Lonchura striata: one gene and its partners. The protein of the gene in region 4 interacts with the protein of the main gene of each other region in a biochemical or structural test. Links are inferred from orthologs where the notes say so. Each region holds a gene or a part of one and is shown on either strand. Other genes may lie near its edges.

Evidence for each region.
Region 1: the proteins of UBE2D3 (region 4) and TRIM63 form a complex in vitro, tested with the Homo sapiens proteins (5 studies listed by BioGRID). The link is inferred for Lonchura striata from reciprocal best matches to the Homo sapiens genes UBE2D3 and TRIM63.
Region 2: the proteins of UBE2D3 (region 4) and RNF168 form a complex in vitro, tested with the Homo sapiens proteins (5 studies listed by BioGRID). The link is inferred for Lonchura striata from reciprocal best matches to the Homo sapiens genes UBE2D3 and RNF168.
Region 3: the proteins of UBE2D3 (region 4) and SMURF2 form a complex in vitro, tested with the Homo sapiens proteins (12 studies listed by BioGRID). The link is inferred for Lonchura striata from reciprocal best matches to the Homo sapiens genes UBE2D3 and SMURF2.

What each region holds. Positions count from the first base shown.
Region 1 is NC_134628.1:397,317-404,445, reverse strand, and holds the start of TRIM63 (E3 ubiquitin-protein ligase TRIM63), read right to left. Parts: upstream 3,012-7,129; 5' UTR 2,993-3,011; coding exon 2,834-2,992; intron 2,746-2,833; coding exon 2,579-2,745; intron 1,513-2,578; coding exon 1,344-1,512; intron 1,084-1,343; coding exon 988-1,083; intron 514-987; coding exon 280-513; intron 160-279; coding exon 137-159; intron 1-136. UniProt on the Homo sapiens protein: E3 ubiquitin ligase. Mediates the ubiquitination and subsequent proteasomal degradation of CKM, GMEB1 and HIBADH.
Region 2 is NC_134612.1:5,260,409-5,268,276, forward strand, and holds the start of RNF168 (E3 ubiquitin-protein ligase RNF168), read right to left. Parts: upstream 3,016-7,868; 5' UTR 2,701-3,015; intron 1-2,700. Other genes in the region: WDR53 (WD repeat-containing protein 53), read right to left, coding at 4,468-5,055, 7,540-7,868. UniProt on the Homo sapiens protein: E3 ubiquitin-protein ligase required for accumulation of repair proteins to sites of DNA damage. Acts with UBE2N/UBC13 to amplify the RNF8-dependent histone ubiquitination.
Region 3 is NC_134621.1:8,494,041-8,501,247, forward strand, and holds the start of SMURF2 (E3 ubiquitin-protein ligase SMURF2), read right to left. Parts: upstream 3,010-7,207; 5' UTR 2,820-3,009; coding exon 2,768-2,819; intron 1-2,767. UniProt on the Homo sapiens protein: E3 ubiquitin-protein ligase which accepts ubiquitin from an E2 ubiquitin-conjugating enzyme in the form of a thioester and then directly transfers the ubiquitin to targeted substrates.
Region 4 is NC_134606.1:48,603,117-48,610,978, reverse strand, and holds the start of UBE2D3 (ubiquitin-conjugating enzyme E2 D3), read right to left. Parts: upstream 3,016-7,862; 5' UTR 2,618-3,015; coding exon 2,594-2,617; intron 1-2,593. UniProt on the Homo sapiens protein: Accepts ubiquitin from the E1 complex and catalyzes its covalent attachment to other proteins. In vitro catalyzes 'Lys-11'-, as well as 'Lys-48'-linked polyubiquitination.

The DNA of each region.
Region 1 (7,129 bases), on a different chromosome or scaffold from region 4:
GCAGGGAGAGCAGCGGTGTGTGCGTGTCCCTGTCCCCCCGCGGGGACCGTGGGGCAGCGGGGCAGGGCAGCGCCCACTCCCCAAATCCTGCCCGTGGGGGCTGGAGCGTGGAGATTCCCCCAGTTTGAGCACTTACGTTTTTATCAGCTGCTTGGCGTTCTGTGGAGGGAGAGAAGGGGGAGGAGAAGAAGGAGGAGGAGGAGGAGGTGAGTGAAGCAGCAGCAACCACCAGGTCGTCCCCAGCAGTGGGACGCCACGGGGCAGGTTTGGGGGTCTCACCATGAGGAAGGCGGCCCCCCCGGTCTCCTCGGCTGCCTGGATGGCGGTCTCCACCAGCCGGCTGGACTTCTCCAGCTGCTCCTTGTACTGGCAGATGAGGCTCTGGATGAAGGCGGTCTTGTCCGCCTGCTCCTGGGAGATGCGCTGCAGCAGCTCCGCCTTCTTCTCCTGCAGCAGCGCTGCCAGCGCGTCGAAGCGAGCGCAGAGCTCCCGCTTGGCCGCCTCGCTGTTCTCCTGCGGGGACAGGGGACAAGGGATGCCACCTCTGCGTCCCCCCAGCGCCTGCAACACCCCAGGGCTTCCCTGCTCCACGGGCTCCACCCCACTGCCGCCCATGCCCGGCTGAGGTTTCACTGTCAGGTTTTGGGGGGCTCCTTTCTGTGGGTCTCAGATTCAGTCAAAGAAAGACACTGAGAGTTTCTAGCCAGGCAGAAGCCTGGGAAAGAGCTGGGAAAGAATGTAAATAATTCTTTATCTCTCTTGTTTTTCACATTGTTTATAGATAAGTTCTATCACTGTGCGTCAAGCACTGTACACCAATAGCGTGGCTTGTTTTCACTTCAGAACCAATGGATTTGATCCTTGCGAAGCTCTGTATAAAAGAGCGGGGTATTTTGAATAAATCCGAGTTTTACTCTCAGCAGCCTTCTGATCAGTCTTCTCATTCCCGTCCTGCCTCGACAGCGACGCCTCTCCCCCTTTCCTCACCTCGGTGCTCTGGCAGGAGTCCTCCAGCTGGGAGATGATGGTCTGGATCCGGTCGTTCCCCGCCACCAGCATGGAGATGCAGTTGTTCAGCTCAGTCTGGTGAGCGACAGAGAGAAGGAGTTCTAACTCCTGTGGAGGCAGGAACTTCTCCCATCCCAGCCTGGGGACGGGCTGGCCATTGCTCGTCCCCAGCCCTGCTCCCCCTCATCCCTCAGCAGCCACTCTAAATATAGTCTGTCTCCTGGGCGAAGTCACCCGGGGGCTATTAATACCCCGTGAGGCAGTCCCGGAGTTATTTGTCACTGTCCCAGCTCAGCAGATGGCCCGCAGCCCCCCCGGGTCCCCCCCCAGGGCACCTTCTGTCCCTGGAAGACGCTTTGCAGAGGGGCCACCTCGCAGTCCTTGTGGGCACCGAAGACTTTGCACATGGAGCAGGTGGGGACCTCGCAGGTGACGCAGTAGATGTTGATCCGCTCGTCCTCGTGCTCCTTGCACATGGGGTGCTCCCCCTTCTTCAGCGGCCTGCTGGAGAGGGTGGCACGGCCGCGGTGACATCGCCGTCGCGGTGACACCCGCACCAGGCTGATGGCCCCCGCCACCCCGGTGTCCCCACTGCAGCATCACCCCCACCGTGGTGACACATCCACCTGTCACCCCGAAATCGGAGAGACGCCAGACCCTGGCACAACCCCACAGCTGCTCCTCTGGGAGCCACCAACCTCTGCAAACCCCAGCAGGTCCCAGTTTAGGCCACCGTGGCGCTGGGCATGGCAGCGGGTGGCACCGGGGACGGGGGGGGCTGCGAGCCAGAGGAGCTGCACCAGGGCCTAATTTTAGCCCTGTGCTGCCCGGATTTATTGTCACCCATCGTGTGACCGGGGTGGGGACACCCAGAAACCGCCGGGGGTCCCAGACGGGGGCTGCAGCTCAGTCCTCCCATCCACAGCAGGGAGGGACGTGGGGACAAGCCAGCAGCCTGAAACAGGGACAGGCCTGGCCCCCCGGCCCCCCCAGCAGCCACGGACACCTGCCACGTGCCATCGTCCCCGTCCCCATGGCTCTCACACAATATTTACAGCGGTTCAGGGAACCTGGCTGGGGCCACCGCTCTGCCTCGAGAGCCCGTGACCCCTCTGTCCCCCCCAGCTTCATCCTTGTACCCACTGGGCCCCCCCCAAACCGTCCCTCTGCCCCTTATCAGCCCCGGTGCCCGCTGTCAGCAGCAGAGCCCGGATTCCTTCCCCACACCTCTTATCTGCCAGCCAATGTTCCAGCAAGAGGGGCAGAGGACGTGCCCGGCTGGCACCACCCCCAGGGACCTGCCACCCCCCTGGGACAGCCAGAGGCACAAACTGCTGGGGCAGAGGGGAGAATGGGGCTGGGGGAGGAAGTTTTGGGTGCAGGAGGAAGTTTTGAGTCACGGGAGGGAGGTTTTGATGGCGATTTGAGTCAGGAAAAGCTCTGAACCGGGGATGGCTGAGCAGGAAGACCCCCAGGTGCGATCTCTGGGGGTCTCAGCGCTGCTGCCGGGGCACGGCTGGGGCATCCCCGTGTCCCCACGTCCCCGTAAGCCCATGGCCGCGCTGCCCACCTGGAGCACTCCTGCTTGTAGATGTCGATGATGTTCTCCACCAGCAGGTTCCTCTGCAGCCCGTAGACGCCGTGGCGGTCCAGCAGCACCTCGTGGCGGCACGAGGGGCACCGGAACCGGCCCCCCGAAATCAGACTGCCGCGGCTCTGCCAGTACGGGTTGGCAGCCTGGGAGGGGAAGATGAGCCCGGGGGGTCCATCAGTACCCCCACAACACCCCGGTGCCCCCCGGGCCGGGCGCGGGGGCCCCGCTCACCTGGAAGACGTCGTTGGCGCACTTGCGGCACAGGTTGTGCTGGCAGGGCAGGATGACCACGGGCTTGCTGAACATCTCCAGGCAGATGGGGCAGATGAGCTGCTTCTCCAGGCTCTCCATGGGGCTGCCATCCTGCAGGATACCGCCTTGGAAATCCATGGGCTCCTCAGGGCTCTGCTCCCGGCGCTCTCGCCGCCGGCGCCCCTCGCCCCGCTATTTATAAGCCGCCGCCTCGTCACGCGTTTGCCGGTCGCGGCTCGGTGTCGGGTGTCCCGGGACAGGGGACAGCAGCTGTCACACGGTGCTGAGCCACCGCAAGGGCCGGTAAACAAGATGGGCACAGGCTGTCCAGGAGGCGCTGCCCACCCGTGCCGCGGACGTGCCCGAGCGGGAGCCGCGGGGTAAACAAGCGGCTGCGCGTCCCGAGACCCCGGAGCAGCAAGCGCCAGCCCCGCGGTCATGAGGACATTGCGACGGTTCCAGAAATCCGCAGCAGGGCTGGCTCGTACAGTTTGTCCCTTTCCCCACCCAAAACAGGAGCAAATCTGGGGGGCAAACGCCTCCCCCCGTGCGCTGGAGGGACGCAGCCCCCATGGCTGGCACACGCAGCGGGGTGTGCCCTCCCCAGGCACGGGCTGGGGGGCTCCTCCGGGAGCCCAGACCCAGAGGGGGCTGCTCAGGCTGCCCTGGCACGGCCCTGGCACGGCCCTGGCACAGCCATGACCCAGCTGGCTCCGCTGCTGGGGTTCAAGCGCTGACCCAGAAACGGCTGGGGGGGCAGAGGGTGAGCACAGCCCTGGCTGGAAGCAGCCCCGGCCACGATCCCCGCCGGGCTGGCCAGGGGCCAGCGCTGGCCGCGGGGAGAGCTGCCAGCGCGGCTGGCACAGGGGTCACCACGGGGGGACGGGGTGGCAGCGGCGGTGCCCACAGCGACTGCGGGCAGGAGATGGTACCGGGGTGGGGGGGCACCTGGGTGCACAGGTACGGGGTACAGGGGGTACCTGCACAGGTATGGGGTGCAGGGGGCACCTGGGTGCACGGGTACGGGGTGTGGGGGGACACCTGGGTGCGCAGGTATGGGGTGCAGGTGTCTGTGAGCACACAGGTGAGCAGGGATGCACAGGTACATGGATAAGTGGATGCACAGGTACATGGATAAATGGATGCACAGGTACATGGATAAGTGGATGCACAGGTACATGGATAAATGGATGCACAGGTATATTAATAAATGGATGCCCAGGTACATGGATAAATGGATGCACAGGTACATGTATAAATGGATGACCAGGTACATGTATAAATGGATGACCAGGTACATGTATAAATGGATGCACAGGTACATGGATAAATGGGTGACCAGGTACATGTATAAATGGATGCACAGGTACATGGATAAATGGGTGACCAGGTACATGGATAAATGGATGCACAGGTACATGGATAAATGGGTGCACAGGTACATCGATAAATGGGTACCCAGGTACATGGATAAATGGATGCACAGGTACATGGATAAATGGGTACCCAGGTACATGGATAAATGGATGACCAGGTACATGTACAAATGGGTGACCAGGTACATGGATAAGTGGATGCACAGGTACATGGATAAATGGATGCACAGGTATATTAATAAATGGATGCACAGGTACATGGATAAATGGATGCACAGGTACATGGATAAATGGATGAAGAGGCACATGGATAAATGGATGCCCAGGTACATGTATAAATGGATGACCAGGTACATGAATAAATGGGTGCCCAGCTCCCTGGATGTGTCACACGCGGTGCACAGCACACGGTGCCGGGGGCACGGACCCCCTCCTCTCCCCACGCGGGTGTTTTGGGCTCCCTCCGCCCCGGCTCACGCGTGGAGCGGGTGGCCGCGCCGGGAGCCGCGGGGCACACGGGGCAGGATCGTTCCCGGGGCGGCGCTCGGGGCTGTGCCAGCGAGGCGCCGGCAGCACGGCGGGGCTGGTGGGCACCCGGGAGGGCAGCGCGGGGGTCGCACCCTATCCTGATGGCATTGGTTCATGAATCGCTGCTGGACTCGCTGAAGGGGACTCCCAGGAGCGGAGGGGCTGTAATGCCCTAAGCAGCTTTCCGAACCCACAAGAGGCTCGTTGGCCCCTAATTGGCTTGGGACAGCTTAGGCAGGAGCCGGGCACTAATCACCCCCGGGATCCTTCCCAATTAACCCCGGAGAGCCCACTGAGGGAGGAATCTCCCTCTGCCGGGGCTTCGCAGGGCTCTGAGCAGTCGGTGGCCCTGGCTTCTCCCAAAATGTCCCTGTGGTGGCTTTGCCACGGTGGGGGAGCCCTGCGCCCCCAGCCCCGGGGCATGGGGGGCACTTCCAGCCCTGCAGCCTGAGGGGGAAAGGGACCCACGGCACAGAACAGGGAACAGCGAGGGGCGACAGCTCTTGTGCCACTGTCACACCAAGCCAGGGCACGCCCAAGGGCCACAGGGGCGCTTTACTCATTTTTTTCTGGACGCCAAGCAATAAATTGTAGAGTCCCAGAATTGTTTGTTTTGGAAGGAGCTTAAGTCCCATCCAATGCTGAAACGCGGAGAAAGATTAAAACCCCACAATTATAATAAAGATTTGTGGGGAACGGTGTGTTTATTCACAGTGTTGTGGATGCATGTGGGGACTCATTGTTCTTTAATGGACATGTGCACCCCTGAGAACTCCTGATCTTTTTTTATTACTCTAACTTCTATATGCATAGAATCTTATAATAGGTTTATGTATATTTATTTTATTTATTTTGCGTTATACTTACAGTTAGTTACACTTGTATTTAGTTTTTGTCAGAAAGAATTCTTGGGTCACTCTGTTTTGTTTGTTTTAAGGTTTGAGGAGTTTTTCTTGTCTCTTATCTTTTTAGTGTGGAAATCTGTATTTTTTTTTTTTTTAGTTAAGGTAGTTTTGCTAGTGCTGTAGTTACTAGACTAAAAAACACATTTTACTTAAATCCAGATTTCTTTCTTGTTAAATTTTTACTTTATCTCATTGCCACCGCGGGGACACCTCCCACTGTCCCAGGCTGCTCTGGGCACGCTGTGCCAGGGCCTGTCCGCCTTCACAGCCAGGAATTCATTCCTAATTAACGAACAGAAATTTAAGTCATTCATTGATTGATTAATTAATTAATTAATCTCATTAAGCGCCCACGGCGCTCGCGTCATGGCCGGGGAGTGGGCGTGGCCGAGGAATGGGCGTGATATTATGTGGGCGTGGTCACTGTGGGGCGCGACCAATGAGCGGGCGTGGTATTGCATGGGCGTGGTCATGGCGGGGCGTGGCCAATGAGCGGGCGTGGTATTACATGGGCGTGGTCACGGCGAGGCGTGGCCAATGAGCGGGCGCGGTGCTGTGTGGGCGTGGCCGCGCGGGGGCGTGGCCGCGCTGAGGGCGGCGGGCGGAGCGCAGCCCTAAGATGGCGGCCGGGCGGCGGCGGCGGCGGCGCTGAGGTAACGCGGCTTCTCCCGGCCCGGTTCGGCCCTGCTCGCCTCGGCTCGGCTCGGCCCCACCGCCTCCCCTTTCCCTTTGTGGTGGTGCTTGTAGCGGGTGGGATCCGGCTGCAGGTCGGGCGGGGGGAGTGGGGCCATGCCCACAGCGGCGGGCCGGCAGCATCGCCCGCTCTGAGGCGGCGCTTTCCCTTCAGGGCCGCAGGTGCGGCCGCGCCGAGCAGGAGGGGTGTATATATATCACCTGCGGTACCTTTATGTTTGTGTTATTCTCTAATCGAGTGTTTATATTATTCGTTATTCGCTGCCTGGGCCCGGTGTCCGCCCGGCCGCCCCCGGGGCAGCCGCGTTCCCCCGGGGCTGTTTGGCCACTGGGAAATTGAGATTAAATTAAAGCTCCTGCCCTTGTTGGCCCATTGCATCTCAGTCCCAGCCCTAATGTGGAGCTGCACCCCTGTTCTCACACACGGCACAGCTTGGTTCAAATCCTTGCTGCAAATGTCCCTCGCACAGCTTTGCTGAAAGGTTAAAATATCTCTGTAGCATTACCTGAGACTGATGATACCTTTTTTCTCTCTCTTTTTCTTTTTTTTCCTTTTTTTTCTAAAAAAAAAAATTACCTAAAGCAGTGGAAATACTTGAAATCTTCCTACTAATAACATGTGGTCCTTATTGCCTGACATAAAGAGAATTACCTTTATCACTGGCTGTCTTAGAGCTATTGTAGTTCTGCTCTATCAGTGTGATTTTATTTATTTATTTACTTTTGGTTTTGCGTTTCATTCTGTTTGACCAGTGATCCTTGGCTAGTCAAGC
Region 2 (7,868 bases), on a different chromosome or scaffold from region 4:
CTGCAGCCTGGTGGAGCTCATCTTACTGTGGCAGGACTCCTCTTGCTTCAGCAAGAATTTTGGGATGAAAATTGAACTTTTAATTGGAAACTAAGCTGGTGTCATGTAGAAATGTAGGGAGTTCAGAAAAACCCGAAGGATTGATGTGTCATAATTGGATCGAATCTGTCAGCACTGAGAGAGGAAGTGCAGAAACTGAGGTGAGGTGAGTTGGGCTTTGCTGTGAATGACTTCCAGAGCTGGTTTGTCAGATAATGAGTGTTCTTGCCGGTGAATTGTTGGTTTGCAGCTTTTTGTCAAGGTAAATAAGCTTCCACACGGCCCATTCTCCAACTTCCTCCTCTACAAGTAGGAGTAAAGTTATCTAAGATCTCATCACTAATGCTACTCTCAGTGCAGCAGTGGTTTCTCAGCAGGCTTCAGTCCAATGCTTTACTATTTGACCAGTTTTATCTCTCAAACATTTTTTACTGCCTTTCTGTAAATTAATCTTCTGTGTTTTCAAGCACCTGCAATAAACATTTAAGCATTTGCCAATTTTGGATCTAAAAATGTCTGTTCAGTTATACCATGGTAGATCCATAACTGATCTCCCACAGCTGTAACTGAATTCTGATAGACTGAGTGCTGCTGCCTCTTGATCTAAGTTTGGAATGAAAAGAGGAAGAATGGATTAAACCTCCCATTTTCATTTCCATCATGACCTCTGAACACTTTTTCCTTTAGTGTAAGTGAAGTTACCACTAAGTCAGCGACCTCTAACTCTGACTAGTGTACAGACAAACCACATCCCCATTCTTTACCAGAAAGCTTTTAAAATTCCTCTCTTGTTAGCACACAGAACATATTTGGAAGCCATACAGTAGAAGCTCCAGCATTCCCACTTCTCTGGAAGTGTGGTTCTTTGTGAGACCTTATTTCTGCTATTCAGGCATTTACAGAAAATGATATTTTAGAGCTGTCACATGGGTTTGATTTTCCAGGCCAGTGCAGCATCCCACACTTCTCCAAGCCTTCCCCATTCACTCACTCCATGGTACATTAGACACACACTTCTTCAAGTAGATTCCCACAGAATTAATTTTCACTTTTTTCTTTTAGGAGTTGTTTCACTGTTTCTCCTTCTGGTCCGGTCTCCAATAGCTACTTTTGTGTTCACCATCATGTGAATCAGAGTTATAAAGGCTGTGGATGAACTAACAGTTAGGAGCAGTACCTCGACAAGAGCAGTTTCTTTCCAAGTCTGTCAGCTGTCTGTCTGTCAACACATAATCACTCATTTCCTAAGCAGAAGTACTGCATCCCATCAGCTGTGATACTCTCAACAGGGATCCTTTTCACTGCAGGTAAACCACAGGTGTATGTATGACACCTGATTTGACTTTTAAAAGTCTCAACACTGCATAGTTTGCCTTTAAATGTAAAATATCCTAGAATCCCAGAATGGTTGAGTGGAAGGACCTTAAAGCCCAACTCATTCCACCCCCTGCCATGGGCAGGGACACCTTCCACTATCCCAGGTTGCTCCAAACCCCATCCAACCTGGCCTTGGGCATTTCCAGGGATCCAGGGAAGCTACAGCTTCTCTGGGCAGCCTGTGCCAGGGCCTCACCTCCCTTTCAGGAACGTGAAAATCCAGAGTGTGGGGACAGTATCCTTCCTACCTCTAACTGCTGAGAATTTCTGACCCTTTTTTGACTGTTTTTCCTGAAGATCCATGCTCGTATCTTTGTATCTGCCCTGAGCCACCACCACTGGTGCCTGCTGCTGCACAGCCGAGCAGGAACTGGTGCCAGCGGGGGCAGCTGAGGCCAGATTATTTTTCAGGAAGTCTATGAACCTGTTGGTCACATTCCTCTGCCAAGTGCAGGCTTTGGAAATGGAGGGTGAATCAGCATCACCTATGACCTGATTCCCCAGTGATGGTGATTTGCTTTCCTAAAACTTTTAAGAAAGGTCCATTCTTGGGGTTCTTTTTTGCTCATGATAACCACTCTCCAGACTCTGAGGCATGATCTGAAAATCAGAAGTTCACCTGAAATCTCTAATTAGAACAGCAAGCCTGAATTTCACAGAACCACAGAATATCCTGAGTTGGATTCACAAGGATCCAACTCCTGGCCCTGCACTCCTGTACCCCCCAGCAATCCCACCCTGTGAGAGCATTGTCTGAATGCTTCTTAAGCTCTGGGAGCTTTGGTGCTGTGACATTCCCTGAGAAGCCTCTTCAGTGCCTGACCACCCTCTGGGAGAAGAATGTTTTTCTAATATCCAACAAAAACCTCCCCTTATGCAACTTAAGGCCATTCCCTCAGGTCCTGTCACTGGGCACCACAGAGATCAGTGTCTGTCCCTCCTTCCCCCTCATGAAGAAGTTGTAAACCTCAACGAGGTCTCCCCTCAGTGTCCTCCATGCTGAACAGACCAAGTACCCTCATTGCCTGGTGACAATTCATGCAGCTGCAGGCCAGGGATGATGGAGCAACTGCCCAAATCCTGCACCAAACTGCCAGGATGGCAGGGAGGGAATAACACCACCGTGGAGCTGATGGCTCGGTCCCTCTTTCCTCCCGCTGTCCGTTCACAGCCAGTTGCCCACAGCAGTTTCCAGAGAAGCACAGGTTAGCCTGGTGTCCCGTGTTAGCTGTCCCATGCCCCAGCCCTCCGTGCCCTCCCTGTCCCTCCCCAGCCCTGCAGGACCTGTTCAGCGTCTCGTTCAGGGAGCGCAGGGAGATGCTGGCTTTCGCCATCTTCCTGGAGAACACCAAGAGAAGAAATAAAAGCTGGAGCGGGCTCGCTCCTCTCTCCTGTAGCCGGCAGCAACAGCAGGGACAGGGGATCCGAGTCCTGCAGGAGGTTGTTTGTTCCAAGGCTTTTTATAGCCTGTATATCCAAATATAGGTCATGGATGCACCAACACACGTTCATGGATGTGTCACACACTGAACCACACAGCCCGACCCGACCCCTTCCTCTGCCCCACTGATCCCATGTCTTCACACATGAACTCATGCACAGGTAACACAAAAAGGAACAAGTACAATTTTATGCCTTTTTTTTTTTTTATTGCTGTGTTTTGGCTTTGATTTGCTGATGCGCCCACCAGATCATGTCTTGGGCCAAAGTCTCCTGCTGGGAAAGGCTGTACAAGCAGATTGCCTTTGTTTTTTGTTTTAATTAAAAAGGTACAAAGGTAAAATCTGATTTGGATGAGAATGAGTTGTGTTTGGTTGCAGGGAGCTGCTTTGAGCAAAACCAAGACAGTTGGAATCTCTTCCATAAAGGGTGAACAGAGGCAGCACAACCAGATAATGATTTTCCAGAGTTTTGTATGTAAAAAAATAGAACTGGAAATTTTTCCAATATAGTATGAGTCTGGTAACAGCCCAGTTGGTAAACACAGCAGCACAAACCCAAACCTACCACCAGTGCAGCATGTCCTCAGCCAGTACTAGGAATTCAGTTCTGTGACAGGATAAGGACAGCCCAGGAAAAAAAACCCTTTTAAAAGAGTTATTTGCTCACTTCATGGGAAATTGAGCATGAACTGAACATGTCTGGAGATGTAACATTTCCACTTAGGTTTTCCTACCTTCAATTTGCAAATGAAGCTTCTAGCAAGCCAAGTTCTACTCATTGTGTTTCAAAGCTTTAGGAAGACAGGAACTATTTGGGTAAGGAGAAGCTGTGCCTCTGGCCCTTCATATTCACCCTGCTATCGGGGTAAATAAACTTTTTGACACAATTTTGTGTGAGTCTGGCACTATTAGAGTGATTCTAAGGACAAGGGAACAGTGAGAGAGAAAGCATTTATTAAGCCAAGTGTAATAGTTCTTTTCCCTGGGATACACAACTAACTGACAGCTGACCCAGCAAACAGGTGTAACAGTTCCCCTGCTCCTTCTTTTGCTGCAGTGAAAAAACTCAGTTGGCAACCACAGGGAAACTCATTTGATTACTCATTAATTGATGCATCTAGTCTATGCAGCTGCTGACAGAGTGATGAAAACCAGATCCCACCATGACCAGTTCAAGCCAACTGGGACACAGCTTCATGGGAGAACTCGCACAGAGCACTGCAACAGCCCAAACCACATAGGGCTGAGCCAATGACAGCCCTGCTACTGTTCAGCAGCCTCACTTAGCATTGTGGGTGTCTCCTGAGCACTAATTTTCTCCTCCAGCCTTAATTACGTCAGCTTAGCCATGAACTAATGTTACCCCTAAATATAGAGACCCGTTTCACTTAAATCCAAGCAGCAAAATTCCAACCCTGCAAGAGAGAGTAGCTGTGAACATAACAGCCACAAGGAACCAGCACGAGGCCAGGGACATCATGAGTGCACAGCAAATCCCTTTCCCTTCCCAAGGACCCAGAGGGGTTCACTGTCCAGTTCACTGTCAGTGGAAGTAACTGGCTCTGAGAAGTGGTTTTATCCCCCAGACTTCTGTAAGCCCCTGGCTGCCTTAAGGTTCTGGCAATGGATAGGCTGATACTGAGCTGGTCTGGTCAGCAACCAACACTCTCCTGGAGCCCTTGAGCTCTGCAAACAAGAGCCAGTTCACCTTCTCTCCGTGTTCAATGCTGAGCTTTGGCACAACTCCAGGGTGTTCATTTGAGGCTGCTTTGTTGAGCTTCCCATCTTTCCTGCTGGAAGCAGCTGCTTGGGCCTTCCTCCTGTGCAGAGATTTTGCTGGACTTTTTTGCTGCTTCCCAATATTACTGCTGACATCCCAGAGCAAGACTTTCCCATCGTTTCCTCCAGACAACAACTGGTATGCCTCAGGCATAAAGAGCACCTGTGAGACTCCCAAGCTGTGAGCCTGGAACTCCAGCTCCCGTTCAAACCTGGCACCTGTGACTCGGAATATTCGGACTTTACCGTCCTGAGCTCCACAGCCGAAGACGTTGCCGCAAGAGGCGACGGACAGGGAATGCGCGAGCGGCGGGTTGAAGAACTGCCCGGCTGACTGCAGGCTCTCCTCCTCCATGTCACACTCCTGCAGGTTTGTGGTCCACAAGGGACGAACTTTCTGCAGGTTCCACAGCATCACCTGGAAAAAATACCAATAGGATAAAGAAATTATTTGTGTGTTTTACTTCAAATCGGATCTTTAACGGTAAAATAAGCAACCACACTTCTCCTAGCAGAGCAAAGGTTGTGTGTGACTCCAAGAACTGTAAGGCGTGTGGTTAAACTTGCCCTAATAAATGTAGCAAATCTTTCTGGCCTGCTTTCCAAAGCCCCACCACCACACTCTGCAGTCAATGACTCACACCTTTAGACCATGGAAGAGATGCTAACACTGCTCTAAAAGCTTTTGCATTTATTCCAGCAGTAGCAATCATGATGTACTGCACATCAATTATTGAGAAGGAGGGACACGGAAACCCTAGCAGTGAATAGAGATCATTATCATTCTGGATTTCTGTCTCTGCTACTTGGCCTGTAATAGTCACTGCCATGAATGTGTCTTAAAAATGGGACAGCAAAAGGCAAAAACAGCAGTTAAGGCTGTGGTCTTTAAACAGGCATATTTGTATTTATTTTTATATCCAGTGAGTAGATCTGGTTTGTGCTATGGAGTAGGGCATGCTTAACCTACTGAGATGGGGCAGGTTGTGCTTTTAGACTTCCTTTTCCAATGCCACCCCACCTCCAAGCCCCCAGTGAAGAATCCCACGTCTCTTGTACAGCAGTTCAAGCACTACATATTTATACTGAGCCAATTAAAAATAATGCTCTCAAGACTTTTGTAGGATCTGAATTGACAATGAGAATTCTCAAGGCCAACAGATTGAAAAGCCCAAGTCATTCTAATGCAGCACTGGTGTACTGTTTGCTTCATAAAGCTAAGCTTCAATTTGTTATTAATAAAAATATTCCTTTAGTAGTAATCACCAATAAGAAGTACCAGAGCCTTTAAATTTAGTTCACAAAAAAGCCTGGCTCTGCATTTCCGGAATCCAAATCACACTAAAACATCTGAAATATATTTCCTGTCACTTTCCTGTTTCAGTTACTGCTGTTGCTGCTGCACTAAAACTACTTCCACAACTGTGATTTGCTCTAAATCAGAGGAGCTGGGTGATGCTTACAGAAAATACTCCTGTTTTCATCACAAACAGCACGGCAACAACCTGATGAATCCATCAACTGCTGAAGAGTTTTCTGCAAACTAAGTATTTTCTGTCCTCATGGCACTTTCTCTGCTTTATTGGAACTCCTGAAAGAACTCCAGCAACCTCAATTTCAATTTTCATCAGACATGACTTCCCCGAGGGTTTGACAAGCCCAGAATATGTTTTGTAGCGCTCATAACTTGTCCAAAGACATGGTGCAGCACAGGACTTCAGAGTTCTGCAGCTAAGCTCCCCTTTGGGAAATGATGTATCTTAAATGCAGAATGCAGAATGCAGAATGCAGAATGATGGTCTTTTCACTGTACAAAAGCACACTAATTAAATCCTGTTTTGGGATACTGACTTTCACCTAAAAAAACAACTTGCTGAGCTACAATCAATGAACCTAATACTAAAAAGTCACAAAAAATAATCAGCTCCCTTGTACCTCCTTGTACATAAACGTTTACAATTCTGATAAAAAGTTTCCAGCCACAAGCTTGTGTATCTGCATTTTAGGGACCAGAATTAAGCCAGCTGAGGGACTGAGAGTTTACTCCTCTGAAACAGGATCGATCATCATGGCTTTAACACAGAAAAATAGTTTATACTAAATATCAGCATGTACTTGCTCTAATGGGTTGTGAGATGTACTTTGGTTTCAAGAACACAGGCTGAAACTGCTCAAACCTGTCACACAGACTTCACCCTGACACCGCTGGAACCACAGAAACCTTTGAGAAGTGACAGTTTTCATACTGGGCTAAACCAGGAATGTGGTCAGACCTCAACTACTGGAAAGAAATTACTGAAAAATATCTGTTCTGGGCTTAACTCCCAGCATGGGTCTCAGAATGCAAGGGGCAAAGTTTCCTCTTGATGAGGATAGAAAAATTTAAAAGGCAAAGAACATTTCATGCTCCCAAGATGCTAACAGAACAACGGATAAATTATACAAATCACTTGTTCTCACAGTGATATGTTCCACTTGGAAAGATGCTGCTCTACCTGCCTGCCTCAAACACTGTGCCTTTTCCTCACCATCATTTGCATCTTATCTGCAGCCACAACTGATCCCTAATGGCAGCTACTGGTTTTGCTCAGTCCAACAAAGAGCAAATACAGCACAAGTGAGCTTTGCAGTGTATTCTGATTTCCCCTCACCCCACTCACTTTTGAATTATAAATGTTAAAGAAGATAAAAACAGGGCCAGAAGCTGCTGAGTGGAACATAGCACAAGCAGTCCCAACACTTAAGTTTTGGGCCAAAATACTTCAGAATAGCGAGGGAGCTTTCCGGTGACTGCAGGCTGAGAACACCTTCGTGCTCAGTGAAAGTCTGCGGCTGCTTCACTACATAGGTGGGTAATTACTGTTTCACTTCATTAATAGCCGTACACATGTATGCAAATCACCTGCATGTCCAGTCCACAGGAAACCAGGCTTTGAGGCCGCTGAGGTCGGAAGGCAACAGACGAGCAGATGTTGGAGTGCCTCAAGGACCGGCTGACTTTCTTGCTTTCCAAGTCCACAACCTTTATGGCCCCCGAGTCATCCGCCGCAGCCAGGAAGCTGTCGGCGTCGTTCACCGAGAGGCAGTTGATCTCCTCCTCGTTCACCTGGAAGCGCTGCAGGGGCTCCTGCAGGGAGCGGACATCCAGCACGCTGATGGTTTCTCCGTGGGACGTGTACAGCGTGCTGGGCCGGCGGGCGGAGAACACCAGCGAGGTCACGTCCTCCGCCT
Region 3 (7,207 bases), on a different chromosome or scaffold from region 4:
TGTTAAGATAAATTTCGCAGAAAACTAGTGCAATTCTGGAATTTAGCTAATTTAAATTATACTGCCTATATTTTAATCAAAAACAAGGATTTACACCTCCTGCTAGAAGTATCATCAGAAGCCATGACACCTGGATTTTAAAAATTATTTGCAACAAACAGCCAAACCTTTGCTAAAGAATAAACTTTTTAAATAAATATATAACACAGATACACTGTAAACTAAATAAAAACTTACTAGAAGTATGCCACCGCTGTGGTTTTTCTCTGTTGTGGAACCCAGACCTAAATAAACTGTTAAACACTTAGTGTAAAGGTATGCCAAACATTTCTCAGAACTTTCTTAAGGTCTCAACAAAGAGTCAACCTTTTTTGCAAAATGAGGCCTAGGTTAAATATTTTATTTGGCTCCTCAAGATGGACTGAGAAGTTGGGCACTAGCTCCAGATCAGTTCTTGGACTCACATCAAACATTACCCTGTCATTTATCCAGTCAGTCAAAACAATGTTTTCCATCTAAACCTTTAATGTTTATGTCCTGAAAAACTGCTAATTGAATCCAGTTCTTGAAATCTATTTTTTAATCTATACCATTTAATTTAGAGATACTGAACAGAAAAGATAAGCGTTGAACAATGATTGCAGAATTAATCCCATAAACATTCAAGCCAAAACAGAAGACTGCTAGTTTCATAGAGCCAAAGAAAATTAAGATTAAATAGCATTTGTCAGTTTGAGAATAAACTTTTAGAAACACTGGATATACAGATTCTTTTAATTCCAAACAGTTTTAGAACTCAAGAGCCCCCAAACTGCTTTTCCAATCAAAAAGAATAATCAAAACCACACAGAACACTTACAACTATTCCTAGGCAAGAACTGACAACATGTCAGCTGAATTAATAAAATTCATTGTTTTCCTTAAACATGTAAAGCTTCCTTACAACAAATGACCTTAGGTGAAACAACTCCCCATTAGCTAAAGCAGAAAATACCTCAAGCTGTTCAGCTGGAGACACAGGCCAATGTTTCCTATAAGCTTCCAATAATGGAACTGGTACTCAGTGCCTGCCAGAGCTGCTAGCCCTGGAACAGTCCTAAAAAGACACTTTTGCCTTCATCCCATACTCTGCACTTTCCCTTCCCAAAATACAAGATGCCCAAAAAACACAAAAACATTCCTTAGGGTTGTACCTGCTGCATTTGGGGGCTGACCACAGTGCGTAAAACCACAGCGTGCTTCTGGTCACAATCACACTCCCCTCACCACACTGAGATTGTCACAGGCACAGTTTCATTATATGCTTATTCCTCAATAAAAATAAAATATGAAATGAATTTGAACACAAAACACAGAGGTGAGAAAGACAAGTCCCTAGACAGTATTTTCCATTATTTTAAATAAGGTTACAGACCATTTTTTATGTTTCAAAGATAAGCAAGTCTGAGCACTCACTGCTCAGGGAAAGAAAGTATTAAAGCACTGCATCAATACAGCAATAACCTGAGGAGAAAGCTACAAAACACTCAGTAAAAACAAGGCAGCACTGTTCCATGCAGCAGTCCCAGCTACGCTCATTTTAGGAGTTTTATTTCCAAGTGTAATATAGAGACACTCACGAATCTCCATGAAAACTAGATAACAAATCTAGTCCAAGTTATTCCAAAGTAAAACAGAAGCAGATACATTTTACTTTTTCTGTGAAAATAACATACTTGGAAAGATCAGTATGAAAACACCTCTCTTTATTAGGTATTAAACTGGAGATATTTCTCACACACCTTAAGTAAATATAACAACTCTTCTAATATTTAAAAAAATATTTCTTTTGCAAGCTGCTTAGAAACACTATATAAAGGTGGATATTTACAGTGAAAAGCTATACTCTTCTAATTGCTTACCTTTGTGTACTGATGCTTCAGGACACACAGTGTCATTTATGTGCTGGAGGACTTAACAATACTTTGAAGAAAAGAGCTAGATTCAAGTGTCCTGAATTTTTTTAAAGAAAGCTCAAGCAGAATTTCCAGTATTTTTTTTCCTCTAAACCTGTTTACGTGGGGTTTTATATGGAAAAGGGCATAATTTTAAGTATTTAAGACCAGATTCTTTTCCTTCCCAGCATGCAGGTGAACCGTTTTTATGGTATTTTAAAATATCAGAGGTCAAGTGGTCTGGAGTAGGGCAGGACAAGGCAGTTCACCCAAGAACTGTGAACAATCACAGAATATGCTGAGTTGGAAGGGACCCACCAGGATGATCGAGCCCAGCTCCTGGCCCTGCACAGGACACCCCAAAATCCCTCCCTGTCCCTGAGAATGTTGACCAAAGGCTCCCTGAGCTCTGCCAGCCTTGGGGCTCTGAGCACTGCCCTGGGAGCCTCTCCAGTGCCCAACAGCCTTAGCCGAGGAAATCGCTTAAAAACCCCAACAAAACAACAACAATAAACAAACAACGAGATCGAAACAAAAAGCGTGGCAGTTTCTTTCGAGTTTACACCGAGAAGACGAAGGGAAAATACACTGCAAGGCTGGGGCGCGGTGGCTGAAGTTCCCCCAGGCGGCTGCGGGGCCCGGGCCGGGCGGGCGGCGGAGCCCGGACACGCCGAGCCCGGGGCCGAGGGGAACGGACGGCAGGGAAACCTCGCCCTCCCCTTCCCTGCGAGGCCCGAGGGGCCGCTCCGGCCCCAGGCTCAGCCCCAACGACACCCGGAGGAGCCGCTGCCGCCCCCCGCCCGGGCTGGCCCGCGGCCCCGGCCCAGCCTCACCTGTCAGCCGCAGCTTGACGGGCCCGTTCCGCCGGGCCCCCGGGTTGGACATGGCCCCGGCCGCGGCACCCCGCCGCCGCTCCGCAAGGGCTCGGGGGAGGCGCGAATGGAGCCGGGCCGGGCGCTCAGGGCAGCGGCGGCCGCCGAAGGAGGAGGAGAAGGAGAGGCCCGGATGTGCCCAGCGTCGCCATGAGCGGGGCCGGGGCCGCGGAGGAGGAGCGGAGCCTTCCCCGCTTCCCTCCGCTTCCCTCCGCTTCCCCGCCCCCGGGCCCGAGCACAACAAAGCCGGGACGGAGCCGCACGGACGGGCGGGCTGGCGGCGAGCTCGGCTCCTCTGCTCTCCCTCCGTCCCTCCCTCCTGCCCCGGGGAGGCCCTGCCCGCCCCCCGCGCCCCGCCTCGGGTCAGCCTCGGGGGAACGGCGGCAGGTGGCGGCGGCGGCCGGGCGCTGCTGGCCGGGAGGCCGGCGGGATGGCCTGTCCCGGGAGAGCGGGGCTCGGCAAGGATGGGGGAATGGCCGTGTCCCGGGAGAGCGGGATGGACCTGTCCCGGGAGAGCGGGATGGACCTGTCCCGGGAGAGCGGGGAATGGCCGTGTCCCGGGAGAGCGGGATGGACCTGTCCCGGGAGAGCGGGATGGCCGTGTCCCGGGAGAGCGGGGGATGGACCTGTCCCGGGAGAGCGGGATGGACCTGTCCCGGGAGAGCGGGATGGACCTGTCCCGGGAGAGCGGGATGGCCGTGTCCCGGGAGAGCGGGGGATGGACCTGTCCCGGGAGAGCGGGGGATGGACCTGTCCCGGGAGAGCGGGATGGACCTGTCCTGGGAGAGCGGGATGGCCGTGTCCCGGGAGAGCGGGGGATGGACCTGTCCCGGGAGAGCGGGATGGCCTGTCCCGGGAGAGCGGGATGGACCTGTCCCGGGAGAGCGGGGGATGGACCTGTCCCGGGAGAGCGGGGGATGGACCTGTCCCGGGAGAGCGGGGGATGGACCTGTCCCGGGAGAGCGGGGGATGGACCTGTCCCGGGAGAGCGGGATGGACCTGTCCCGGGAGAGCGGGGGATGGACCTGTCCCGGGAGAGCGGGGGATGGACCTGTCCCGGGAGAGCGGGATGGACCTGTCCCGGGAGAGCGGGATGGCCGTGTCCCGGGAGAGCGGGATGGACCTGTCCCGGGAGAGCGGGGGATGGACCTGTCCCGGGAGAGCGGGGCTCGGGAAGGATGGGGGGATGGCCGTGTCCTGGGAGGGCTGGAAATGGGGAAGGATGTGGGGAATGGCTGTGCCTGAGGGGAAGTAGGGGACTGGGAAGGATGTGGACAGTGGCCATGGCCTGGGAGAGCTGGGGATCGGGAAGAATGTGGGTGAATAGCCAAGGTGGGGAGGAGAGGGTGGCAGAGAAGCTGTGTAGGGAGTTGGGACAGGAAAACCGAGGGTACAAATGGGAAAAGACATGGCAGGAGAATTCAGAGGCAGGCTGAAATGGGTGGTCCCACGCAGGAGTGCTGCCGATCCATGACAATATTCCTCATGGACAGGGTGTGACAGACCAGCCCTGGAAACTGTTAAACTTTGGACCAATTTGGTTCTTATCTGCACTGTGTAGAAATCAGCAGTTGAGCTCTGTGAACTGCCATGTGCAGAATAATAATATTTTTTTTTTTTTAAAGCCTTGCATCCATGCCGTGTTGCCTAATTTAACTCCCACCCTGTGGGAAAGGTGACCCTTTCCAGAGTTTTCCCAGCTCTGCAACACACTTCCCATGAGGAGACCTCCATCAGAGTAATAGGCAGCTTTCTGCAGGGCCAGAGGGGCCTCAAGGGTGAGACAAGCTCCCAGGAAAGCTATGAACGTTACCACAGTCTAGATTACTTTAGAAGTTTAAGCTAATACATCACACACCTACTCTTACTAACAACCTTACTAAGACTCTACTCGTTTGGTCATGTCACTGCTCTGGCTTCTTCCTGCTGAGGTAACCTGTGAAGTATTATCATGTGGGTAGTCAGAGGTGAGGATCCAGCTATGGATCCCCAGCATTGGATGAGAAGATGACCTGTGCTTCACTGAGTTCATCCTGTGGCTCCTACACAGCCCAGGAGGTTTTCTCTGCAGTCGCTTGGAGCTGAGCTGTAACCATGTCTTGAATGGTCCCATCCTGACAGAGCTCAGAGTCTGAGCCTCGTTAATTCAAACCTGGGGTGTGCGACTGATTTTTTTTTTCCACTGAAGGCCTTGAAGTGCAATGTGGTTCTTAAAGCTTTCCATCCATAAAAAGTGACCTCTCCTATGCTGTACGTGGGGATTGACTTCCTATTCCTCCCAAAGTGTCTGAAGTGCAAGGTGGAGATTTCCAGTGCTTCCTGCAGTGGTGGCACTGCTGTTCCAGTGTCACTTCAGCAGGGAACAGAGGAATCCTGGGGTCCCTTCTTTGGCCAGGGCTGTGCCTGTCCCCTGTGCCATCAGCTGTTTAACACAAAACTAGCAAATGTTAGACACCAACCTCTTTCACAGCACAGGCAGAGCACAAGATAAAGCATAAAACATCTTTCCAGTGCTTTGCCACTGGTTAAAAAGAAGAGAATTTGAAACAATTAAAGTCTAAGCAGCATTTACTACAAAACATGGACAATACACCTATGGATTTTATGACTTTACATTGCACTGAAACAGTTAAGAAGTTATTTTGTAATGGTTATGTAAATTCATGCACACCCCAAAGACATTCCAGGTGTCCTGATTCTTGCATTAAAAAAAAAAAAAAGAGGAAGAAAATTAAACATTTATAATTGAAGGTCATACTATTAAATTTTCAGTCTGTTACAAATTCACATACTCTTTTCTCAAACCAAGTATATAATGCAACTGGCTGTTTGGATCACAACTACACTGCCTCTTTTGTTGAGCTTGTAATGAGGAATCATTGATGGTTTGCAAATATTGCAACATTAACTGGCCACTGCTAAACTGAACAGGAAAAAAAAAAAAAAAAAACAAAACTACTTTTCACATACTTAACATATTTCTAAATTTTTCCTAACATGATGATTATTCATTTCTGGGGTCTTGCAGTGCACTTTGGACCTAACATTCAATAATTCTGATATAATTTGACAAAAGTGCCTAATGTTATATTAAATACAGAATTCTTTCTACATGATCTTTTTCTAATGGATAACTAGTATGTCAGACATTAATTGAAATGCCAATATTTAAAAAACCCTTTGGGATTAAATATACTTTCATTGTTCAGTAGTTATATGAACATTTAAATTCTTTCATTAAAAGTGTTTTTTAAAGGTCATGAAGCATACTTGGTTTCAAACTGCTTTTCAGAAAGGAACTTGCTGAACTATAAATTTTTCTAAGGTTTTTGGACACACTGCTCACCTTTCAGTGAAAGCATTGTGATATATTGCAAGTGTTAGAGCATTAACTGACACTGCATTTGGGTCAGCATATAAAATGTACAGTCTGCAGGATGGCTGCTACTGCTGTACACTTTTCTTTAATATGTGCCATATTTGATTTTATTTACTTAATTTTTAAACAACCAACATGACTTGAGCACTTTTATAAATACATGCCAAGTGCATCACATGGGACAGTCCTGTATAGTAGGTGTGTATTCAGCAGGGGGAGAAGAAGGGCTCCAGCTCCCATCAGCCTGGCAGGGCTGGGTCCCAGTTGGGTCTTGTCCCTAAGGTGGGGAGAACACCCTGGACCAGGCTGCCCTCGGACACACAGAGGCACCAGATGCCAACTGCTGCACCCTCCTTTCTCAGGGCTGTGCCTTGGCTGTCCCACAGCTGTTTGTGTCCTGTCCTATCTCCCAGTTCTGTTGGGAAATGAGGATTTTCACTCGCTGTTCCCTTCACTGTGTAGAACTGCCAGGAAGGATTTAAACCGAGTATGTTCAAGAGGAACCAGTGCAAGATCTGCAGGCAGATGAAGGGAAGCCAGGCAGAGCACCAGGAACTGCGGTGGTGTAGGGGAGCAAAGATGCTGGCAGTCCCTGGTGGTAGAAAGTGCTGCTTTCCCAACCAAGAAATCCCACTGGAATGTTATGATCCAGAGGTTCCTGAGCCAGTACCATCCCCCAAATTCTCAAAATATTCTCAGATTAACAGAACCGATCTCTCACTGATCCTCCTTTCGCTTTCAGAAGCCAAGATTTTGCAGGAAATTGTATCTTTATACAGTTCCATTTCAGAGGTTTCACTCTGTGCAGGGCTGATCCTGTGAGAGAGACAAGCAAGTATCATCAGCGCTGCTGACAAGAGCCCCATGCTCCAGTGCAGGCTGGTATCACTGAACAACACATCCTTTCAAGATGAGACAGCTCGCTGGGATCCACATCACCCTGCAGATCATTTTGGATGACAGCCTTGCTGCTGGATTTGGGAATCCAATCCAGCCTTCTTCAGCCAGAGCTTCACAGCTGA
Region 4 (7,862 bases):
GTTTGGGGAGTGCTTTATACAGGGTGTTCCAGAAGTAGACAACCCAATACATAAATACTAATTTACATTCATTTTCAAATCAGAAGTAGAATTTGCCAGTTATGTCTTACGAGTGGTTGCATTCTGAATGTGTAACAGACTTCAAATTAAAGATACACACACACACACTCTAACAGAGTCTCAAGTCTAGTTTACTCAATATAATGAAAAATGTTATTTTGCTTGATATGTCAAGTCCACAAAGAGGGAGTCAACCAAACTGACTGAAAATATCTTCACTGGTACATTCAGGATGTCATCTGCTGCAGGAGACAATGAATTCTAGTTCTGACAAGTAATAGCACAAACTAAATCAGCTATGGTGATTACAATGTTCTGAGGTCCTGGTTTATCTTTAGCCTGTTCTCATCTACTGATAAAGACATACTACAAGGAAGCAGAGAATTCCAAGGTTTGATCTGTGATCTTACAATTGGAAGACAGGGAATCCTAGTTTATCAGTGACAACACCGCTCTCTCTGGATTTTACTGGTTGACAGGATTAAAATTACATTCACAACCATTTTGTTATAGAACTGGCCCTACTGTTTTTTTTTTTATGTCAGCAGCAGCCTCTGTAAACATTTATACTGGAAACCAATAGAGGAAGAAAGCAACATGCAAAGATTGGCTTCATTCCACAAATTAAGGTCATCTTCCAGGTTTGCAAATACAAAAATCAGAACTACAAACTCCACGTGAATTTAGAAGTCTATCTTGTAATGTGGTGTGATTAAACTGATAAAAACCCCAAACAAACACATACAAAAAAAGGAGGCAAAAATTAAAAACTAACAGAGCTAACTATCTTCCCAATCCTAAACTCTTGCCCTAAAAAACCCTAGCTCAGCTATGTTCCCAACCGTAAACTCTTGCACTGGATAAAGGAAGAACCTTGCTACTACACAGCGCAATGGAGATTAAGGACCAATACAAAAGTGTACACAACAGGCCAAAACGCTATAGTCAGAGATGACTTACTGGCTCAAGAGTCACGCTGAATCGTTTCCAGGTTCTGACCACCAGATTACTACATAAGTGGGGGTTTGTCTTGGTTTACATTTGACAATAAATTCCTACCTGCAGTGCCTGAACGTGTTTCATAAGCATGAGCTGATGACAAAGCATACCAGGGAGTATCCTAGCTGTGTTTCAACTCAAGTGCTATCATCCACTAACACAGGGAACAAGTTTTGATGGCAGATTCTAAAGGAATTGTTTTGAAATCCTTGCCAGAGCACAGCCATAATTCAAAGACAATCCATTCAGCTATCTACACAGAAGGGATTTAAAATTTTCGAGGGTAACAGTACTATCCATTCACTAAAAACGTTATAAAAAACGCTTGTTTTGTCTAAAATACGACCACAAGCACTGTGTGAAATTAAAGCGAGACCAAGAGGCGGCATGAAGTTTACACACTGTCTACAAAAGGCGTTTTGTACACTGAAATTCACCGATTTCAGGACACACTGACGTTCTGCCATCTTGGCAGGCTATGAGATGACCAAGAAACTCCTCTGAGCTCTTGAAACACGTAACTGCTCCACGTAGCTCGCGTAAGAAGGAGCACAGACCAACAGCGACTTCCCGGTTCCGCCGCTGCGCACCCATCGCATTTTGCCATTACATCCCAGCAATTCTCAAACCTGCCGACAAAACCTAAACCCACTTAGGGGCAACTTCACGCCGGGAGCTTTCTAGCCCTGGGAGAGGTATCTTAAAAAACAACCCCCCCCACACACAAAAAAGAAAACCAAACTTTCATCACCTCGGCATTTTTTCCGAGTTAGCCGCCGCGAAGTTGCTCCACCCGGCTCCGATTGTGCAACGGGGGGAGGCGGCGGCGCGCAGCGCGCTCCCGGCCGGTCGCGGGGAGAAGCGATTCCCGGACAGGCGATGGATTCCCGGGTGCCCGGAGAGCCCCGGGGCGGCAGAGAGGGGCGGCTGCAGGGCGAGGGCAGCGCCGCGGTGGCTGCTCCGTGTGTCAGTTCCGCGTTATTGCGGAACGCGAGGGATCCCGGAAAGCGCCCGGGCCAGGCGGACCCGCCGCCATCTTACAATGCGGGAGAGAAGTTGCACACTAGAGGGGAGAACCCGGCCGAGGGGCCCAGCTGCTGCCCGGGCAGCGCCTCCATCGCACCCAAACCTCTCGGCACACACGGGCTGCCGCCATCCGGGCCGGCTTCGGCCTAAGGGCACCGGCAGCGACCCCGGGCTGCGCTGACATCCGAGCGGCCCCGGGAGCTGCCTCTCTCCGACCTCCCCGGCCCCCGCCCTCAGGAAGGGGCCGGGGCCGAGCTCGGGCCCGGAGAGAGCGGCCCCGCAGCCCCAGCCGGGCCGCGGCCCCGCCGGAAGGAGCCGCCGCTGCCCGGCCTCTTCAGCCTCCGCCTCTCCCCTCCACCCCCCCCCGCCCGAGACTCCAGGGGCGAGAGGGGGAGGAAAGCGATGGGAGAAGGAGAAGATAAAACACCCCAAAAATAACAATAAAAAGAAGGGCGAAGCGGTGAAGGGGGGGGACGGCGGAGGAGGAGGAGCCGCGGTGCTCACTCACCTTGTTGATGCGTTTCAGCGCCATTGTGTGTGTGCGAGTGCCGGGCCCGTCTACGCGCCGCGGTGACTCCGCGCTCCGCTCGGGGGGCCGGGAGGAGGGAGGAGGAGGAGAAGGAGGAGGAGGAGGAGAACCGGGAGGAAGGCGGAGAGGGGGGAGGGGGCAGCTGCTCTTCTCCTTCCTCCGGAAACAGCCGGGGGGGCGCCCGACCGGCCGGCCGCCCAAGTCCTGCCTGCCTGCGGGCAGCGGGGCCGTGAGGCTGCCGGGGGAGCGCTCCGCCCGCCGCCTCCCGTCACGGCCGGGAGAGGGTGCGAAGTGCGGGGAGAGCCGAGAGGCGTCACCCGCCCAGGGAAGAGCGAGAGAGGAAGGGCAGGAGAGCCCCGCGCTGCCGCCGCTGGCCAGGCCCGGACGCCGCGGGAGGGAGGGAGGCGGGGCCGGGCCCGGCACGCCGCCGCCAACGGCTCCGGGGGGCGGGGCCGAGGGCGGGCCCAAGGGCGAACGGGCGGGGCAGGGGAAGGAAGGTTCTGGGGCTGCCCGTGGGCGCCGCCGCCTCGGGAGCGCTGTGCGCCTCTTCCTGCCCGCGGCTGCCGGGGTCGCGGCGGCTCCGGAGCTCGGCGGGCGCGGGGCTCGGTGGCGGGCGCGCACCGCTAGCGGCGGGTCCGCCCCGGCCGCCTCCCCGCGAAATGGCGGCAGCGGCCGGATCTAGGTGCGCCCGCTGACGCGGCGGCGCGGTGTTCCTCCGCGCGTCAGCCGCCGGCCGGCGCCGCGGAGGGGTCACCGCCCGCCCGGCCCGGGAAGGAGCCGCTCCCACAGGCACGGCCGGCCGGCAGCGCCGGGGCACGGAGCAGGGAGGGAGCCCCCGAGCCATGGGGTTTGCAGCGTTCGCTGCGGTGCGAGTGACGAAGCTGAAGCTCTGCTCTTGCCCCGGAAGAGCGGAGGCCTGGTGTGGGGGTAAGGGGCCTGGACGCTTCCTTTTAGTGGCGTATCGGCATACACGAGGACGTCCAACCAAGTGTCTCAGTACAGGGGACAAAACATCACCAAAGGGAAGATAATGGTGACGTGGATTGTCAGTCCAAGGGCCAGATGCATCATATATTCATATAATCATCAAAATTGGAAGTGACCTTTAAAATCATAAAGCCCAACCATCACGTGGCATTACCCCCTAAACCTTACCACTCAGTGCCAGTTAACAGACACCTCTTAAGCATCTCTAGGAATGGTGACTCTACCACCTTCCCGGACAACCTGTTCCAATGCTTTACCACCTAAACATTGAGAAAAATTAATACCTAATTTGAAACTACCCTGTCTCACCTTAATGCATTTCCTCTAGTCCCCTCACAGCAGGCAGTCTAGAAGAGACTGACCCGCAGCTCATGACAATCTTTTAGGTAGTTCTAGAGGATGAGATACAATTGTTTTATATACAATAGTACCCTCTGTAGCACTTCAGCTCCTTGGAGGCTTTTTATTTTGTGCAGCATGTGCCAACAGATCACTCTCAGCCACGTGGGTTTTTTTTTGCACCGTAATAAATGGTGCAGGTTTATACATTGTTCTCTACAAGGGGAAGGACTCCTACTCCATTTCCGTGAAACAAGAGCAAGATTGCCTGACTGCCCTTCTTCTGTAAGGATGGAATGTATAAGTGACAAACATGACATTTGACGTCCAGGGGGATGTCCACATAATGGCACTGGGCTCCATTTGTGTTCGTTTTAGTGCCATAGTGTTAGTTGTCTTGCTGTCTAGGATACTAATTATTATTGGTCTGGAGAAGGCAGTATATTCAGAAAAGCTTACTGTGTAACAACATTTTCAGTATGAAGCTTGACAACAGGCAGCAGTGAATTAGGAGAGCAGTGGAGGTTTTTTATTATTATTAAAAATAGCACAGTTGTAGAACTGCCATTGTTTTTTAAAACTGATATTTGCAAGCAAAAGAGTAAACAATACCTTGTACTTCTAAAGTCCAGTTATCTTGCTATGATCTGCTAAACCAATCCTAGCAGCTTCCTTATGTAGTCTTCATTTTTTGCTTATTCTTTTAATTGTACTGAACAGCATGTTCAGTAAGTGTAATTACAAATGATTTGATTTTCATTCTTATCATCTTAGTCAAGAATATTGCTGAAGAACACCTTGCTGTTCCAGTTTTGGATTACGGATGCTATTAAACGGCTCCAAATCACCAGCGTGTCTATCTTTGCACCACAGACATGATGCTCTGCCTTGTAAATTGCTCACAAACTTTCTGAGCTTCATTATGGTTTGTCATCTCAGGAGATTTAGATACTTGGCAGTATTCCAGTTTTACATTTTGTAATTATTATTTGAGATTAATGACCTCTAATATGACTTTATATTAACATTTTTGATCAGACTTGTGATTCACGTTTTCTGTATAATGAAAGAAATTAAGAACAGCATAAACATACTGTTGGCAGTGTGTAATTTCCCCTGCTAATTTAAGACAACTGGAATTGTTAATCTGGTAAATCAAGTTTTCTTACGTGTTAAATTCAATGTCTATTAGCATTTGACCCCAAAGAGAATTTCAAATTTACTGGATAGGTCTTGTTTATAGCCATTGCTCAGAAACAGATTTGCAAATTTTAGTTTAGTATACTTGTTTAGGCAAACACTTCATTGCACTTGCTGGTCATTTTTAAAAAACAAATCTGCACATTTAAATACTGACCTTTGAGAAAAAAAAAATTATGGCTTGTGTCGGAATGAAAAACAAGACATGCAGTCACAGTTCTGTGACCTGTTCTGCAAGTCACAAGCACACAGTTCTGCTTGGAGAACATTATGCTTTCCACTCTCACCTCCTTTTCCTCAAATTGTGAGGTAAAAATCATGTATTTTCTCCTCAGTATTTGGAAATAAATAAAACCAAATAGTTTTTTTACTTCACTAGGAATGTGTGGGCAAACAAGGCCTCAAAATCTTAATATGTTGATCTGCCCATGCAGAGTTTTTCAGCTTTACCACACACAGTATGTATATTCTTTTGCATAGATTCCTCATATGGTAATATAAAACGCAAGAGGTGCAGATGATGGTTACTGAATAAGGGTGTTGCAACTTATTGTGGAACTATTTGTGTTTGCTTCATTTTAATTTGATTTTTGAAGCTAATCCTCAGAAGTGGCTGTAGAGAAGTATTACCATGTCTAATCCTCCACAGCAGTGGAGTCAGGTTAGACTTTTAGAGGTTTATTATGCAAAATACCTCAGTAGATGTGGCCTGGTAATAAACAGTTTGCACAAAAATACTGAGAGCAGACCAGCTGTCTTGAACCTGTCTTTAAATTTTGTTTTTTCAAATATGGTGTTCCAGAGCCATGTGTGACCAAGTGATCAACAGCCTCCAAAGGCTGGATTCACCAGTCCATTTCAGCTACTTCCTGATGGTCCAACATAGGAATGGATGGTCCAGCCAAGAATGGAGGTTGCCTTGTTTGCCTGTTACAGCAGTGCCCCTTGGGGATTTGAGTGAAAAGCAGCCCAGCCTTTTAGTTTAAAGGTTTACAGAGGTTACTTGTACATCAGTGCTGGTTTTTCAGTTCTGCTTGCCCGAGACCAACCAGTTTTATATTTGGAGCATGCTATTCTACCTGCCTTCAAGACAGGTGGAGCAACCAAACATCGTGGACACCAAGCAGCATTCCATACAAGATGCTTCATATATCTGAGAGGAAAGGGGGAAACAAGATGGAAATGTTTTCCAAAAATATTTTCCATTTTAGGAGAGAAAAAAAAAAAACTTCAACAAAAGCAAGATATCCATCTAATCCATCCAATAGATTACTATTAGTTCCTGTTTGGAGCACTTCAGCTTATGCTGCTGGAAAACAAAGCACTAAGATGAACAACAACAGCTTCAGCTTCTCCCTGTTTGCATGTATTACCAGGCCTCAATTTTCAGCATCCTGTCCAACTTGTTTTTCCTTTAATTATTGTAAATCAAGCTTGCAGACAAATCCTTCTTTAATCTGAGCAAAACTCACCTTATTGAGGACCCTTTTGATTCAGTGGATACCAGAAAGAATAAGATCACAGGAGAAAGTGGACAAAACAAGATTGTTCCATTGGCCTTTTTTTTTTTAACAGAACAACAACAACAACAACAACAAAAAATGCTGAATTTGCCAAGTGCCATTAGAAGACAGTGGAAAAAAACAGGTTTGGGGATGCCATTGGGTTCCACTTTATCTGTTTCAAATTCCAAAGATCATCAGGCCCTTCTGTGTAGCTGTGGGCTTCTCCTCTTCAGTGAGGATGACTAGGTCACAGTTACAGCCTTAGCAGTGCTGTGTTTCCTTGCTGATGCATCTGTGACCATTATGTCTCCTGTTAGGAAGAATAGGTAGGCAACCCCCTTTCACATCTGGAGTGAAGCCAAGGTCAGTGTGTTAGGCAGCAGTTAGTTTTTAAGAAATACTAGATAAAAGGTAACTTTCTTCATATTCCAACTTGGCCAATTCTTCATCTCCCATTATTTCTTCAACAGCTTCTCTGACATTTTCACTTAAACAATTCCCAAGCTAATCCACATTTCCTTTGAATTAGAAGTGCTTTTAATCTCAGTTCTAAGTCACGGAGCAAAATGCCGAGTCCCTGCATCAATCCATTTTAAGTTGTTGCAGCTTTGTGTAGGGAGTTGGAAAGCCTTGAGTTTAGTACTACATATGATTCCCAGTGAAAACCTGGAGTGCTTTGTTGAATAATGATATGCTAAGTTTTCATTGCACAGTCATGTGGGATTCACAAGAGCATAGAACACTTCAGTAACTTACACCAAGATAAATAGACTGAAGTCCCCCACAAAATCTTCTGGTCTTCAGGATTTTGTATAGCATGTCATTGTTTGGCACTTTTTTATCTTCATAGAAACAACATAGTTTTCTTTCAGTTAAAGATTTTTCTCTTCTCTTGAAATCCTTCCAGAAAATAAGAGCTATTTTACAAGAATAATCCTGACAACATAAAATTCTTTATGCTTTTTTCACAGACCTAAGCAACAGAATCTCTGAAAACCACTACAGGTTATTTATTAGTATGCATATAGAGTGTACCTCCTTCTTTTTCCTCAGCAAAACTACTATTTGATCTAGATGAAAAATATATCCCTGTCAAGTCACTAGCAGTTTTTGTCAACAAGAATGTTCATTTTCTGTGCTGATTCAGCTCTATGGATATTAAAGCATGAAAGTCAGATGAGCATGTGCGTGGTGCAATTATGATGCCAAATTTGAAA